Linked DNA regions of Macaca fascicularis. The protein of the gene in region 2 interacts with the protein of the main gene of each other region in a biochemical or structural test. Links are inferred from orthologs where the notes say so. Each region holds a gene or a part of one and is shown on either strand. Other genes may lie near its edges.

Region 1 (8,516 bases), on a different chromosome or scaffold from region 2:
AGGAGTTCGTACAGTGAGACAGTGAGCTGTGATCGCATTCCAGCCTGGGTGACAGAGTGAGACACTGTCTCAAAAAAAAAAGCAGGGGAGATATTCCCCTTAATCTGTGAGACAATGTCCCCCATCTTCCAGTTTATATCCAAGAACCAATGTAGATACAGGAATAAGGATCCTGAATTAGGCTACAGGAGACATAGATGCCAGTATTGGCTCTGCCTCTAATTAGCTATATGGCTTTAGGCAGTCATTTTACCTTTCTGTCTCTGTGTCTTCAACTGTAAAACAGTTGTAGATGGTTGTAGTAAGGTGGTTCACCTTTCTTCACACCATACACAAAAATTAACTCAATATGTTTCAGAGGCTTAAATGCAAGAGCTAAAACTAACACTTAAAAGAAACCATAGGATAAAAAAATCTTCACAATGCTGGGTTAGTAAAGATTTATTAGATATAACACCAAAGGCAAAATAAATAAAAGAAAAAAAGTGATAAACATCAAAATTCAAAACTTTTGTACTTTAAAAGACACCATTAAGTAAATGAAAGAGGTCAAGCGCGGGGGCTCACACCTGTAACCCCAACACTTTGGGAGGCTAAAAATACAAAAAATTAGCTGGGTGTGGTGGCACACACGTGTAATCCCACCTACTCGGGAGGCTGAGACAGGAGAATTGCTTGAACCCAGGAAGCAGAGGTTGCAGTGAGCTAAGATCATGGCACTACACTCCAGCCTGGGCGACAGAGCAAGACTGCAACTCAAAAAAAAAAAAAAAGTTAAAATTAAAGAAGGCTAGGCACAGTGGCTCATGCCTGTAATCCCAGCACTTTGGAAGGCTGAGGCAGGCGGATCGCTTGAGCCCAGGAATTTGAGATCATCCTGGGAAATGTGGCGAAACTCGGTCTCTACAAAAAACACAAAAATTAGCCAAACGTGGTGTCGTGCATCTGTAGTGCCAGCTACCAGGGAGGCAGGGATGGGAGGATCACTTGAGGCCAGGAGGTGGAGGTTGTAGTGAGCCCTGATCATGCCACTGCACTCCACCTTAGGTGACAGAGTAAGACTCAAAAAAAAAAAAAAAAAAAAAGGAAATGAAAAGAAAAAAAAAAACTACAGATGGGAAAATATTTAAATTAAATCATATATCAGATGAAGGACACATACCCAAAATGAATACACATACCCACACTTCTATAACTCAAAAAAAAAAAAAAAAAAACAAACAGCCAGGCACAGTGGCTCACCCCTGTAATCCCAGCACTTTGGGAGGCCAAGGCAGGTGGATCACCAGAGGTCAGGAGTTTGAGATCAGCCTGCCCAACATGGTGAAACCCCATCACTACTAAAAACACAAAAATTAGCTGGGCATGGTGGCGAGCACCTATAATCCCAGCTACTCAGGAGGCTGAGACAGGAGAATTGCTTGAACCCAAGAGGTAGAAGTTGCAGTGAGCTGAGATCTCACCACTGTACTCCAGCCTGGGCAACAGAGCAAGACTCCATCTCAAAAAAAAAAAAGAAAAGAAAAAAGAAAACAACCCAATGGGCAGTCCAACTGGACAAAAGATTTGAACAGATATTTCACCAAAGAAGATCTATGAAAGCCTAATAAAATAAGCACATGAAAGGATGTTCATCATCATTAGTTATTAGGGCAATGCAAATCCAAACCACAATGAGATACCACTTCATAACCACTAGGGTGGTTACACGCAAAAAGACAACAAATGTAGAGAAATGAGAACTCTTATAATTACTGGTAGGAACATAATGGTACAGTTACTTTGAAAAACAGTTTGGCAGTTTCTTAAACAGTTAAATTTGTGATACAACCCAGCAATTCCACTCCTGGGTATACATCCAAGGAAAATGAAACATATTCATGGGATGACTTGATGTGAATACTCAAAGCAGCTTTATTCCAAACAGCCAAAAAGCAGAAACAATCCAATGCCCATTAACTGGTGTCCAATAAAAAGGAACCATGTACTACATGGCAGATGGATGAACCTCAAAAAGCATTATGGGAAGTAAAAGAAGCCAAACGCAAAGGACCACATATTATATGATTACATTTACATGAAATGTCCAGAAAGGGCAAATCTATAGAGACAGAAAGTATATTTTGCCTGGGGCTGGGGGTGGGAACAGGGAGTGACTGCAAATGGACATGAGGCATCTTTCTGGAATGATGGAAATGTTCTAAAATTGGATTGTGGTGATGACTGAACAATTATGTAAATTTACTAAAAGATTATTGAATTGTACATTTTAATCAGGTAAATCTTATGGTATGTAAATTATATCTCAAATTTGTTTTTTTCAAATGAAAAAATATTTATGCTAAGTGAAAGAAACCAAACATGAAAGACCACATGTTATATGATCTCATTTATACAAATGTCCAAAAAAGGCAAGTCTATAGAGACAAAAAGTAGATTTATGGTTGCCTAAGGCTGGGGGTGGAAAAAGGGATTAACTGTAAGAAAGCACAAGAGATCTCATGGGGATGTTGGAAATACTCTAAAACTGGATTATCGTGAAGACAGTTGTACAACACAGGGAATTTACTAAAAATCACTAAACGTTCCACTTAAAATGGGTGAATTTTATATTAAATTATACCTCAGTAAAGCTGTTTTAAATCCATGAAAGATGGTCAAATCACATTGGAGTTCATAACCTTTTAAAAACCATGGACCACTTTGTGAATGTGAGGAACACTAACCCTATCCAGAAGACTGAGAGGCTACCTTTTGCCCACTCACAGACATCCTAAGGGTCTGAGGACACCAAATTAACAAATCACCAAATCTCTAGCGCCTTTGTAACTCTGAAATTCTTTGCCATCTTAACACCAAAGGCTTTGAGAATGACTACAACCACCCTCTTCACCCTAGAAAGATGGACACACTACCAGAAAAAAAATAAAAATAAAAACTCTTCTTTTAAAATGATGATAGGGAACCTCATCTTTACTTCTCTGACATCATTTTAGAATCTTCCATTTAATCCTTTCCTTCAATATGAAACTCTGACTGGCGGAACCAGAAGCAATCAGTTCAGACCGGGAACCAGCTGTCTTTAGAACCAACAAATACACGTCAAAGACCCAATAAATACGTAGCAAGCACACAGGCCCATGAAGTGGCTTAAGCAAAGATGTGATGTCTTTATTTAGTCCAGGTTTTTTTGTTTTGTTTTGTTTTTGTTTTTCCTACACAAACCAATACTGCTTTAAGCCCAGATTGTCTTACAACAAGAGGCAAGTTAAAAAAAAATTTTTTTCACAAAGTTTTTTTTAAACCCACAGTGAAATAAACACCGACACTCCCAAGGCAGCTAAGAAGTCTTCAGTTGGTCTTTGTTATAAAACTAATTTTAGGGCAGGATGCTGGCAAAGTAGACAATTCTCCTTCCTCCAATACACAGGTGTCTGCTCATGTCAGTTTGATTGAGCCTGTATAGCTAAACCCACCCCCTTTTGATTTCCAAGGTCACTGGGTTATTGTTGTCCAACAAATACTCCCCTCATCCCCAGGCCCCAGCCTCCTCCCAATCCCTAGGCTTCTGTGAGAATTACAATCTATGTTTGTGCAAGTTTTGGTCTCTGCCAACTGGGATTCCTGGACCCCCTTCAAATCTTTTCACACACCAGCCCAATTTATTGGATCACGTCAAGGCACTATTTGAGGGCCTCCAGTGATACATAAAATTCCAAAATCTGTAGCAAGGCTGAGAAGATCCCTAAGCTCTGGCTCCTCCCTTCCCTCTCTATCCTTGCCAGCCTTCCTTCAGGTCCTAAAACATACCAAGCTTTTCCCCTACTCAAGGCCACTGCATCTCCTCATCCCTCTGTAAGGAAAAATCTTCCTGAGGCTCTTAATCCTCACTTCTCATCCTTCAGGGCTCAATTGAAATGTCATCGCCTCAGAAAAAGAATTTTCCTTGAAATCACCCTAACTAGATCTCCAGGTTATTCTCTATCAGAACATCTTGTTTATCTCCTTCATGGCACTTGCCAAAACCTCTTCTTTTTAATTCCACCCCCCCACCACCACCAAGGACGGAGTCTCGCTCTGTCGCTCAGGCTGGAGTGCTATGGTGCGATCTCGGCTCGCTGCAACCTCCGCCTCCAGGGTTTAAGGATTCTTCTGCCTCAGCCTCCCGGGTAGCTGGGACTACAGGCGAGCCCCACCACATCCAACTAATTTTTGTATTTTTAGTAGAGACGGGCTTTCACCATATTGGCCAGGCTGGTCTCAATCTCCTGACCTCGTGACCCGCACGCCTCGGCCTCCCAAAGTGCTGGGATTACAGGCGTGAGCCACCACGCCCGGCCCTTTTTAATTCTTTTTGTCTACTTATTTAATGTCTACCTCCTCGACTAGAAAGTCACTTGAAAGGAGTCAGAAGCTGGGTCTCTGTTGCTCAGCGTGGTTCCTGCAGCTTCACCTGGAGGATCCCCAGCTCGCCCCAGCACGGACCAGGAGGAAAAAACTAAAGCAGAAATCGATGGCTGTGCCCACAACTTCAAGATCCCATTTCTCACACAGCCTCGGTAAGGCCTGCCCCACACCTGCACTTTCTTTCTCTACAAGACACATGGGTCGCTCCTGTCCACACATCGGAGAATGCTGTACACAAATCTCTCCTGAGCCCCCTCAAGCCCCACCCCACGCCGCCTCACAGGCGCGCGCCTCAAAACCCCCTTCCCGTCTCACACACGCTCGACACAAGCGTCCCACGAATTCCTGTGAGGGCTGCGCTCCCCGAGCTTCCGCGGATCCCCACGTTCCCGCGTCCCCCGCCGCCCAGCGCCGCGCCTTCCCCCTCCGCGGCGCCTGCTCTCACCGATCACCTCCTGCAGCTCGTAATCGTCCCTGTTGATGGACCAGGGCAGGGCGCTCGAGTCCTCGGACATGACGGCGGCAGCGGCTCGCGGTCCTCCCTCAAACTCGCTGACCTCGCTCGTCTCCTCGCCGCGCGTCTCCCCACCCCCAACAGCCGCCGCCGCGCCCCCACCAATCGTCTCGGAACAGCCACGGGTCGGACGGCGCCAGGGCGCGGGGTCACCGCGCGGCAGAGCGGCGGGGTCTCAGAGCTCCGGCAGACCTCGCCTCCTGCTCCTCCGCGTCCGGCACTGCCCGGCCCAGCCCACGTCCTGTCCTCGGCCTCCGCAGCAGCAGCGACAGAAGCTTTCCCTGGGCCCAGCCCCTCTGTCCCGCCCTCCACCCCAGCCCCACGCACGGGCCAAACTTTCCCTTCTCCCTCCACCTGCCGACACGCAGCGCGCTGACGTCACCGCGCTGGTCACGCCCCACCTCGGGCTCGCCTCCGGCCGCCATCTCCAGTGTGGCTGGATACAAAGTGAGCGAGCTAGAAACCCAAGAAGGTGGGAGTTGGCGGTGAAAGGGAAGAAATGTTTAGGTAGAGGTTCATCGAAGGCATCGAAAAGCCGTAGGAGAGCCTCAGGTAGCACAGAGGCAGTAGCCACACTAAGCATGGCGACCAAAGCGCAGCAAAGTAGAGGGGGCGGAGCCACTTCTAGCGCCTGGGGCACGTTGCTGGCTCCGTCGTCGCATTCATTGGTTTGTTTGAGAAGGAATCAGAAAAGCAATGGGTGTGGGTAGACGTCAGTCATAAGCTGGTCCCGCCTCCAGGCTCTTAGAGCGCTTCTCCGTGTTAGGGCTGCAGCCCTTCAAGAGCCCCATTACCCCGCTCGTCTTACCACTTCCTCTGGAGTGACGTCACGGCGTAACCGTCACACCCTCGAGACGTGCGAAAGCCTCCACGGGGTGTGGAGAAGCCCTGAGGGAGCGGCTGGGTGGGGTAGCCTTCGGGTGTGGACCACTGCCAACTAGGATAAAAGGCCTTGGGCCACCGGTCGGAGTGAAACTGGAAGTTTGCCTGGTGACATTTTTTTCAAGGCGGACGTTCTCTCTAAGGCATGCTGTGGCGCTGTCTCTCGCGGTTCCCTCCTGCATTGGGCGGGTTCTGTCCATTAGCAACTTTAGATCTGCAGCTCAAGCACCTGCCTTGAGGGCCTCGGAAGGCTTTTTCCCCCCGAACAGGGCTTGGGCTATTAAACAAGTCAGATCGACCCACAGATTTGGGGGTTGTCTCACGAGCCTTGGCTTTTGTCACCCCCACTGAACAGTTTTCTCAGTTTGACTACGTAGTGCCGTTGGAGAAATTAGCGAGCTGAAGACAACACGCTTGGTAAATTGGATTTTAAAAAATAAAGAGCATCTAACAGGAATAGGGCTAGGTGCGAAACTGTTCTAGGTTGGACGCATTTCAGTCCAATGGCAGTTATTAAGGAAGAGACCTTAGGCCGGGTGCAGTGGCTCATCCCAGCACTTTGGGAGGCCGAGGCGGGCGGATCACCTGAGGTCAGGAGTTCGAGACCATCCTGACCAACATGGTGAAACCCCGTCTCTACTAAAATACAAAAATTAGCCAGGCATGGTGGTACGCGCCTGTAATCCCAGCTACTAGGGAGACTGAGGCAGGAGAATCGCTTGAACCTGGGAGGCAGAGGTTGCAGTGACCCGAGAGCATGCCGCATGCCACCGCACTCCAGTAGCCGACAGACCGAGACTCCGTCTAAAAAAAAAAAGAAAAAAAAGGCTGGGTGCAGTGGCTCACGCCTGTAATCTCAGCACTTTGAGAAGCCGGGGGGTCGGGGCGGGGTTGGGGGGGGTGGGTGGATCACAAGGTCAGGGGTTCGAGACCAGCCTGGCCAATATGGTGAAACCCCGTCTCTACTAAAAAAATACAAAAAATTAGCCGGGCGTGGCAGCGCGGGACTATTCGGGAGGCTGACGCAGGAGAATGGCTTGAACCCAGGAAGCGGAAGTTGCAGTGAACGTTGATTGTGCCACTGCACTCCAGACTGGGCAACAGAGCCAGACTCCGTCTCCAAAAAAAAAAAAAAAAAAAAAAAAAACCTTTCCTGCAAGCCATTGGAAGTTCAGGGTTTTTTTTGTTCTGTTTTTTTGTGGGAGATGGAGTCTCGCTCTGTTGCACAGGCTGGAGTGCAGTGGCATGATTTCGGCTCATTGCAACCTCCACATCCCCTGTTCAAGTGATCCTCCTGCCTCAGCCTCCCCAGTAGCTGGGACTACAGGTGCGTGCCACCACGCCCAGCTAATTTTTGTATTTTTAGTAGAGACGGGGTTTCACCATATTGGCCAGGCTGGTCTCGAACTCCTGACCTTGTGATCCACCCACCTCGGCTTCTCAAAGTGCTGAGATTACAAGGGTGAGCCACCGCGCCCAGACTTTTTTTTTTTTTTTTTTTGAGACGAAACCTCGGTCTGTCGCCCAAGCTAGAGTGCAGTGGTACTATCTCGGCTCACTGCAACCTCTGCCTCCCAGGTTCAAGCGATTCTCCTGCCTCAGCCTCCTGAGTAGCTGGGATTACAGGCGCCTGCCACCACGCCTGGCTAATTTTTGTATTTTTAGTAGAGGCGGGTTTCACCATGTTGGTCAGGCTGGGGAAGTTTAGGTCTTAAGCTTGAGCTACACCAATTCTCCTCTCCTTGCTGGGAGTCCTGCCTGTCTACTGCAGCAAAACCTGTGTGGCAATCTGGCGTTACTGCACTGGGCAAGTAGATCTTAGTTTGGTTCTAAATCACCTCCAAGGCCGGGCGCGGTGGCTCAAGCCTGTAATCCCAGCACTTTGGGAGGCCGAGACGGGCGGATCACGAGGTCAGGAGATCGAGACCATCCTGGCTAACACAGTGAAACCCCGTCTCTACTAAAAAATACAAAAAACTAGCCAGGCGAGGTGGCGGATGCCTGTAGTCCCAGCTACTCGGGAGGCTGAGGCAGGAGAATGGCGTAAACCCGGGAGGCGGAGCTTGCAGTGAGCTGAGATCCGGCCACTGCACTCCAGCCTGGACCACAAAGCGAGACTCCGTCTCAAAAAAAATAAAAAATAAAAAAATAATAAAACACCTCCAAGCACTGGAAGCTTTGTGTGAGCTCTGCTGTGGGAGGTCCAACTGACCATGAAACCAGTCAACTAGAAGCTACTAGTGGGTTTCCACCTAGTTGGTAGGATTGGAGAATGTTTCATGAAGAAGGAAGTGTTTGTACCAGACCTTGCAAAGTTAACATGATTTCAATAGATGCACATTTAGAGGATAGAATAGTCCAGGCCCAGCAAAGGTGCCACAGTTCCAGAAAGCATAGCACAGGCCTTGCTGTAAGTGGTTTCAGCCATTACTACTGACACTTTCTTTACCGTATGTTCTGCCTTTTTCTTTTTGCAGGGAGGAGAGGGATGGGATCAAATGTATCAGAAAGGAGCTAAATCTGATGGTATTAGCTTCAAAGTTTGCACCAATAGAAAGGTCTACAAATCAGAAATCCTTAACTTGGGGTTGTTAAGCTGTATGACCCATGGACATACTTCAGTTTTGTTTTTTGTTTTTTGTTTTTCTCCCTGGCACAGTGGCTCAAACCTGTAATCCCAGCATTTTGGGAGGCCCAGGCAGGTGAATCACGT
Region 2 (8,713 bases):
TGGCAGCTTGTGTTTTGTTGAATAGATTATCAATTTTGATATTGTCAAATATTTTTCTTTGTGGCTCTTGGATTGTTCTTTGAAGCCCTTTAGTACCTTATGTTCTCCTATATTTAAAAAATTCTTTAGATTTTTTTTAAAGTTTAGTTATTCAATCTATGTGGAAATTAATTTTGTGAACAGTCTGAAGTAAACTGACCTCATTTATTTTTCAAATGAATAATTGTCCAAGCACTGTTTATTATTTCGCCTTACTGACTTCAAATGCAATTTTCCTTATATATATATATGAACTTCCCATACATACATGAGACTGTTTCTGTACTCTCCTGTTTCATTGCCTATGCTTACCTCAATACCATACAGATTTAATTTTGTGGTTTTATAATATACTTTGATATAGGTAAAATCCCATCCCCTCTATTTCATTTATAATATAAAGTTCTTAAAAACTATTCTTCATTGTTTAGCTGCCTGATTTTCACTGCCTACTTCCAGATGACAGGGTTCCAGATGACAAAGAGGTAAAATAAAAATTACCCATAGGCAAGACAAAGGAGCATGGGAAAATGAGGGGAAGGAGACAAAGAAAAAAAGAGAAATGCTCTTAAGATGGGACAATTTTTTCCCCTACACTTCAAGAAGCAACTTTATGTATTAATATTATGCCACATTCAAAGTAAGGCAGATCTTGTGTGTTCAGGATATTTCAGTCACTGTCTAAATCAAAAGTGTCTCTTTCATTGCTAGCTAGTTACCAATGGCAGAAACCATGTAAACGAAAAATGTGAATGGATGGGAATAGAAAGAAACATGAATCAATCAATGTGAGAACATGAACAAGAACTAGAGAGAACAGAGAAATGGTGAGAGAGAATAACATACTTGTATCCTTGTGGAACCAAATGTCAGGAAGTCAAACCTCTGAGCTTAGTGCATTCATTGTATCCTGGTTTCTTTGTTACCTCTGTTTATGGTCACTTGATGTTTTATACGGAATACAGAGAGGTTGATTCTTTACTCGATAATTGAAACAACAGAGAAAGGAAAAGTACTATTAGGAATTATAGTAATGAGTAACAGAAAATATCATTTACTTGGAGATAGGTTGGTAAGCATTAAAAAGAACTGAGTGAGCCGGGATCAAGCCACTGGACTACAGCCTGGGTAACAGAATGAGACTCTCTCAAAAAAAAAAAAAAAAAAAGTGAACAAAAAAGTGTTAGTAAAATATGCACACCAAACAACATAACCTTTAAATCTAATCATTGTACGTAACAAGATTATATTCAACTTAAAATTGTATCTGTTTTCATTGTAAAGCTAACATTACACAAGTGGGAAAAGCTGTCTCCTAGGCAAGTGTGGTTTTAAGTCAACAATTAATTAAATTACTTACAATGAATTTAGTTGTTCCTGGTTGAAAAGACATGTTGATAGGGCATGGTGATTATCAAGGGACTTGTGTCCAATGCAGTGTGGCCAAAGTTTCAGGGCTCAGTAAACAGGAACAGGCAATAATAAAATCCTTTAATAACCACTCACACAAAAATATCCTAATTTTTTTATGGTGCCAAAAGGGAACATTGTGATTTACTGATCTTCTTTTAACTTGCCAATTTGTAATTAGCTGCCTTATGTTTAAAATCAGACTATTTTTCCTCCTGAAGCAACAATTGGGCAAGTTTTATTTGACTCAAGAAGTATAATAAAAATGTATTTTACGGCCATTTCTTCCCTTGCTTACAGTAGGTTTACGGTTAGAAATACACTCTTAATTCCATTTACCATAATGAGATTATTTACCATTACCAGCAGCAAACGAATGAAAGATACATTTTCTAGAGCAATGGAACACTAATATTTTAGTACTCTAGTTGTCCCTACTGAATTGGCATTTTAAAATGTTCACAACCTGTCAGCTTCATGAAACCTCACAATCATTGGCTTCAAACATTGTTGTAAACTCGAAAGGGTAGCTTGTGATAAACAACAACAAAAAGAGAAAGAAAACAGCATTAACCATTTTACGGATCAGATGAATTAACATGAACTGCACGGCAAGAATTCTGCAGGTGGAGCTCATCCGAGAACTGTGCTAAGGAACCTCCTGCCGAGTTCCTCGCTGGCTGCTCGCTCGCAGCGTGGTCCTCGGCCCGGGACGCGCGCTTCCGAGCTGGTTCCGCAGCGGGCGCCCAAGAGAGGCGGCCGCGCCCGGACGCTCTGATGCGGTTGCGTACGTTTTCCGCGCTTCCCGCTCTCCACCGGTTGGACCGAGGCTTTTAAACTGCCATCTGCTCCCGAGTCCGGCCTCCTACTCCGTCTGGTGCCCCCTGGTGCTCGTCCCCTCCGCATCTTGAGGAGCTGCGAGGAGCACAGGGGTCCAGGGAGACAAGGATGCTTTCAAGAAAAACATGCCATGGCGCCGAGCCGCAGGGATCCACGTTTCCCGGGCCCAGGGCCCTGGTAGACGTTGCATGTGGACACTGAGGAGCTCTGGAGAAAGAGGGGGTGTTGTTTCACGGAGCCACCCAGCAGAAGAAAGGTGGAAAATAAGTTTCAACCAACTACAAAGGCAGAAGTCAGCCCAGCCCCCCCAAGTGTGGCCAAAGACCCATAGATCCGTAGACCTTATCTTTTCTTGAATCCACCGCTCCCCCAACCCCGCTTTTATTATCTTTCAGGCAAAGCCAAGAGGGAGTTCACTAGGATCCCCCATTTCAGTCAGGCAGCCCTTTTTTGAGAGCCGGAATATCCGTGTCGGGCGGGAGCTGAGAATGTGGCCTTAATTGTTGAGGGGAGGAGGATGGAAGATAATCCTGTCTCCTCCTCCAATCCATTTAATCAATATTAATTTCATGCACCATCTTCACAAAGTTTCTTTTCCCCTCCTCCGACTCAGAACTCAGGCTCCGGTTATCCGGCTTTACCCTTCCCCTCCACCCCCACAGCCCTGCAGTCACTCAACACTACTGCGGCTCTCTCCATTAAAGATGAACAACAGATCATTTTTCATTGCATGGCAACCCTAAGAGCTCTCTCGCTTAGCAGAGCATGATGGGAGTCTTTCCATCTCCCCCCCACCTTCCTCTTTTTTTTTTTTCCCTTCCTTCCCTTCTTCCACAATTAATCCCTAAATAATGATTTTCCTAAGCTCGCGCGGACTTCAGGATGGGGTTGAGCGACCCGCGATGACGCTCCCATCAGCCTTTCAGAAGGGACGGTTTCTAAAGAAAACTACAACTCCCACGAGGCATCAGGCTACAGCAACCGCGAGGCATCACGGAAGTCGTAGGCACTTTTCTCCTAGGTCCCGTTCATCTCCTCCAACCCGTAAACTATAAGTCCCAAGGTGCCTCGGGGCTGGCACGCCTGCGCAAAACCCCGGAGCGAGGTGGGGGGTGGGGCTGCCCCGGGCGGCGGGGGGCGGGATCCGAGCGGGCTGTGTGGAGGCTTCAGACTCCCGGCGCCATTTAGCGCAGAGAGTTTCCCGGGCGGACGCGGCTCCTCTCTCGGCCCCTCCGCACCCCCGTCTTCGGTGACAGAAGGCGCCTGGTGGGGGTGACTGCTCTTTTCTCTCCCTGTTCCCCCTCACCCAGTCCTCTAGGTCTCCTCTCCTCTTGCCTCAGAGAAGCAGCGGAGCTCGGGCCCCGCGGTGAGCGGCCCTCCCCTCCCCGCCGTTCCCTCCGCCGTCAGCCCCCGGCACCGGCCCGGGAGGAGGCGGGTTCGCCAGGCCCGGGGCGGGCGGGGAGGCCTCGGGGAAGGGGGGGCCCGCTCCTCAGGCGCCGAGGCTCCGAGGCTCCGGCCCTTCGCCCCGGGGCGATGGGCGACCAGTGAGGCCGGTCCCCATCGCGGGGGGCGCGTGTGGGAGGCGGCGGCCGCCGAGTGACCGGAGCCGGGCCGCGGCCTTCCTCGCTCGCCTCGGCCCCTCCCACTCCCTGCCCCGGGGCTGCCACCGCCCGGGCGTCGGAGCTGGTCCCGTGCTCGCGGCGCCGCCGCCCTCTGGGCCTAGCCCGCCCGGCTCGGCGAGCGGGGCAGTGGGAGCCGCGTCCGCCGCATCCGCCTCGACTCGGTGCCGGCCCCGGGCCCTCCCCTCATGACTGCGGCGCCTCCGCTGCCGCCGCCCGCCCGGCCGCCGCTCGCCGCAGGATGGATGCGGACCGTGCGGCGCTAACCCCCGCGGCTCCGCTCCCGACTCGCCCGCCTTCGAGCCCTCCTCGCGAGCCGCAGCAGTCTCGGTGCCAGCGGCCCGCCTCGCCCTCGCTGCGGCTGGTCAGTGCTGAGTGAGGCGTCTCCGGGTCGGCGCGAACCCGCCCGGCCGCGGTGCCCTGCAGACCTCCGCGCGGGCGGCTCGGCCCTCACGCCCTTTCCATCCGCGACTCCGAGCCCGCTCGCCTCTCGCCAGCGAACCGACCATGTCTGGCGGCGCCGCGGAGAAGCAGAGCAGCACTCCCGGCTCCCTGTTCCTCTCGCCGCCGGCTCCTGCCCCCAAGAATGGCTCCAGCTCCGATTCCTCCGTGGGGGAGAAACTGGGGGCCGCGGCCGCCGACGCCGGGACCGGCAGGACTGAGGAGTACCGGCGCCGCCGCCACACGATGGACAAGGACAGCCGCGGGGCGGCCGCGACCACCACCACCACCGAGCACCGCTTCTTCCGCCGGAGTGTCATCTGCGACTCCAATGCCACTGCGTTGGAGCTCCCCGGCCTCCCTCTTGCCCTCCCCCAGCCCGGCATCCCCGCGGTTGTCCCGCAGAGTGCCCCACCGGAGCCCCACCGGGAAGAGACCGTGGCCGCCACCGCCGCTTCTCAGGTAGCCCAGCAGCCTCCAGCCGCTGCCGCCCCTGGGGAACAGGCCGTCGCGGGCCCTGCCCCCTCGACTGTCCCCAGCAGTACCAGCAAAGACCGCCCAGTGTCCCAGCCTAGCCTTGTGGGGAGCAAAGAGGAGCCGCCGCCAGCGAGAAGTGGCAGCGGCGGCGGCAGCGCCAAGGAGCCGCAGGAGGAACGGAGCCAGCAGCAGGATGATATCGAAGAGCTGGAGACCAAGGCCGTGGGAATGTCTAACGATGGCCGCTTTCTCAAGTTTGACATCGAAATCGGCAGAGGCTCCTTTAAGACGGTCTACAAAGGTCTGGACACTGAAACCACTGTGGAAGTCGCCTGGTGTGAACTGCAGGTAAAGCCCCACCTACTTCTTTATTTGAAGGTCCTCTGGATCCCAAATTTGGCTTGGCGAAGCCAGTTGATGGAGTTCACCCTTCACTTGGCATTCTCTAACTGTTGGACTCCGAGTGGGAGGGGGAGGTCAACTTTTGAAAGGGGTTGAAATTAGGAGAATGTGGAGCATGTGCCTCGGTGTTGGGATAGGATAAGAATTACTGGTAGCCAGAGGGATTTGCTACCGGGCAGGGGTGGTGAAGGTCATCTTAGTATAAACGAATTGTCTCCTGGTTTAGTGTCTGGCAAGGAACTTGGAATGAGGGGGGAAGTTGAAAGTACAGATGCTTCTTCCTCTGTGCGTTTCAGTCTCATCAGAGGCTCTGCAGTGATGAGCTGCCTCTGGGCGTAGAAGCGTGTTTCCATTCCTGAGATCAGGCTGTTCTTTTTAAATGAGAACGACCTTGTACTTTTGGATATATCTTACTTGATGGTTGCACAGGCATTTAGTATAAAATAAGTATTAAAAAAAGACTCTTCTCTGCCCCTTTTGGATGAATGCCTTGGCCGTAGTGACGTGCAAATAAATGTTTGATGTTGTTCTACCTAATGATGCTTAAGCCTTACAGTAGCAGCATTGCTCTGACATTGTTCGTTAAACTAACGTCTTTCAGCCCATTCACTATACAGCGAATAGTACAGGAGCCCATGCAAAATTGTGTAAGTGCTTTGAGAGTTGTAATGTCATCATCATTATTTTAATCTTATAAAATATTTTTAAGCTAAACTTTCCCAAGAGTCCAAAGGAGTCGCAATACTTCCTTTTTTAACCTCTAGTGGTGTAAATAATGGTGTGTCATTCTGGTTGACTAGTACATTCTAGGTTTAAACAGCTGAGTTTGCGCTACTTGTTGCTTGACTAACTGAAGCAGCTTGCTTGAATGTTGCCCTGACTGGGCATAGGTGAACATAGGTTATTAGTAGGAGCAGGGTTATACTGAAGGAAAAAAGTCAGCCACATTATGCATACATAAAAAAATGTCATTAGACCAGCCTGATACAGGATATGAAAATAACTGAATGATCTTGGAACTTGTTTTATCCATGAACTAATATGTTAACATGTAACCCTTTGAATGTCAGGTTCCAAATAATTAAGGCCATATCAAATGTGAAATTAACACAGCATGTGGAAGTAAACTTAAAAACTAAGAAGTTCTTTACAAACATAATCATTTCTTAACTTTTACAGTTAATGATGTAGAACTTCTAAGGTAGTGTGAAATTAAAAGTACTCATTAATTTTATAGTATTTTAGAATTGGAAAGGTGACAGATCTTAAAAAAAAAAACAACAACGAAAACTATTCCTTTTCGTCAGTCATACTCAAAAAACTTAGTCTGGGCCAGGCGCGGTGGCTCACGCCTGTAATTCCAGCACTTTGGGAAGCCAAGGCGGGTGGATCACGAGGTCAGGAGTTTGAGACCAGCCTGACCAACATAGCGAAACCCCGACTGTACTAAAAATACAAAAATTAGCCGGGTATGGTGGCACGCGCCTGTAATCCCAATACTTGGGAGGCTGAGGCAGGATAATAGCTTGAACCCGAGAGGCGGAGGTTGCAGTGAGTGGAGATCACACCATTGCACTGCAGCATGGTGACAGAGCGAGATTCTGTCTCAAAAACAAAAACAACTTATGTCTGATTCCTTTTGGTTTACAGGCAGAAATTTACAGAATTTACATTTCTTTCTTGTACTTTCGACGCCTATTGCTACTGATGCTGGAATTTTATTCTTCCATTATAGTTCTATATTTGAATAGGTGCTTTTTAACAATTTTTTTTTTCCTTAACCGGTTACCTTACTTTTTTGAGACTGGACCCAATTACTTGTTGAGCACTTTATGAATTAATTTTGTTAGTTTTAATTATTTCACTTCTGAGACTTTTCAGAATGTGATGTGTGTTTTCCCTTTATCACCTGGAATTTTCTGATACTTTATTATCTTGGAACTGATAATACAGTGAAAAAAAACTTAATTTGTCTAATATCATGATACAAACTTTGTCTAAGCTTCTCAGGTTTTCTTAGAACTGGTAGCTTTTTGGATTTTTAATTATCTAGGCATGGGCATGACTAAACTAAAGAAAATCTTATATTGCATATTATTTTTGAGTCATTTCCGGATTTGGCTGCAGAACTAGATGAATCCTAGCTTATTAAGTGGTACCTGATTTAGAAACTTCCATGTCATTTGTCTGTGCCTCTATAATTTTTTGTTTTGATTTTGAAAAGATTATCCTATCTGAAAAATCCTTTATAGCAGCAGTTAGGAAGTATTTTTGGTTTTTTGACCAGGACAGTTGCACTATATGCCTAATAAAGTATTCACTGGGTCAGTGTTTGAACTTTTATCTTTGGAGCCAAATTAAAGGACAAGCCCAAGGGATTACTAAAGCGTTGGGAAGATAGAAACTTTTTCCCTAAATGTATCCTTTTAATATACACATATTTCTGAAGCAAGACAGGAGAATATTGTGTTAAGTTGTTGACTTAAAAATCTTAGTGTATTAAAACTGGAAGAAATCTTAGGTTATCCTGCCCATCTATTTATTTGACAAATAAGAAAAGTGAAATCATAGAGCAGGTAAATAACTTGATTAGGTAGATGAAGAACAAAAGCTAGTTAGGATCTAATAATTTGGGAGATGATAAAGTATTTGTAGTCCAGTAGATGGCTAATAAGTAATTTCAAATGAAGCAATATTGTTTTGGTGTGGAAGTGGCTGTTGGATTTCTGGAGGACCTGGTCCTATACCCATGGCAAATTTCAGGCTTCTGTTTTGGGTATTGATTTTCATCACTTCAAATTGAGATATAAATAGGCTTTCGTGGATGGGTGAATGTGGTATACAATTCAAGCTGTTTTCTGCCAAGCTTATTTTTTAGAGTCATGTTATACTATGCACTGCTCTTTAGTAAAACAAGCATCAATTCTTTTTTTTTTTTTTCCCCCCCCAAAAAAAGAGACGGAGTCTTGGTCTGTCTCCAGGCTAGAGTGCAGTGGCTCGATCTCAGCTCACTGCAACCTCCACCTCCTGGGTTCAAGCGATTCTCCTGCCTCAGCCTCCCAAGTAGCTGGGAATACAGGCGCCCACCACACCCAGCTAATTACAAGCATCAATTCTTAGTAAATAATACGTAGGTAATATTTTGACACCACAGGATCTTCAGTAATTACTGAGTTGTTTAAGATGCAGATTTCTTTACCTGGTTTTATTAGACAAGTAGTGCACCTTAATTTTAGTATTTGATTGTCTTGGTCAGAAAATACTACTGTTGGGCCTGACATTGATGCAGCCGGATGTGGTGGCTCATGCATGTAATCCCAGCACTTTGGGAGGCCAAGGTGGGCGGATCACATGGTCAGGCGTTCGAGACCAGCCTGGCCAACATGGTGAAACCCCATCTCTACTAAAAATACAAAAATTAGCTGGGCGTGATCCGTGCGCCTGTAATCCCAGCTACTCGGAAGGCTGAGGCAGGAGAATCGTTT

The links.
Region 1: of the proteins of WNK1 (region 2) and OXSR1, one has a biochemical effect on the other in vitro, tested with the Homo sapiens proteins (2 studies listed by BioGRID and IntAct, with this or other methods). The link is inferred for Macaca fascicularis from reciprocal best matches to the Homo sapiens genes WNK1 and OXSR1.

Annotation. Positions count from the first base shown.
Region 1 is NC_088376.1:100,190,719-100,199,234, reverse strand, and holds the start of OXSR1 (serine/threonine-protein kinase OSR1), read right to left. Parts: upstream 5,254-8,516; 5' UTR 4,923-5,253; coding exon 4,853-4,922; intron 1-4,852. UniProt on the Homo sapiens protein: Effector serine/threonine-protein kinase component of the WNK-SPAK/OSR1 kinase cascade, which is involved in various processes, such as ion transport, response to hypertonic stress and blood pressure.
Region 2 is NC_088385.1:1,506,192-1,514,904, forward strand, and holds the start of WNK1 (serine/threonine-protein kinase WNK1), read left to right. Parts: upstream 1-3,468; 5' UTR 3,469-4,415; coding exon 4,416-5,174; intron 5,175-8,713. UniProt on the Homo sapiens protein: Serine/threonine-protein kinase component of the WNK1-SPAK/OSR1 kinase cascade, which acts as a key regulator of blood pressure and regulatory volume increase by promoting ion influx.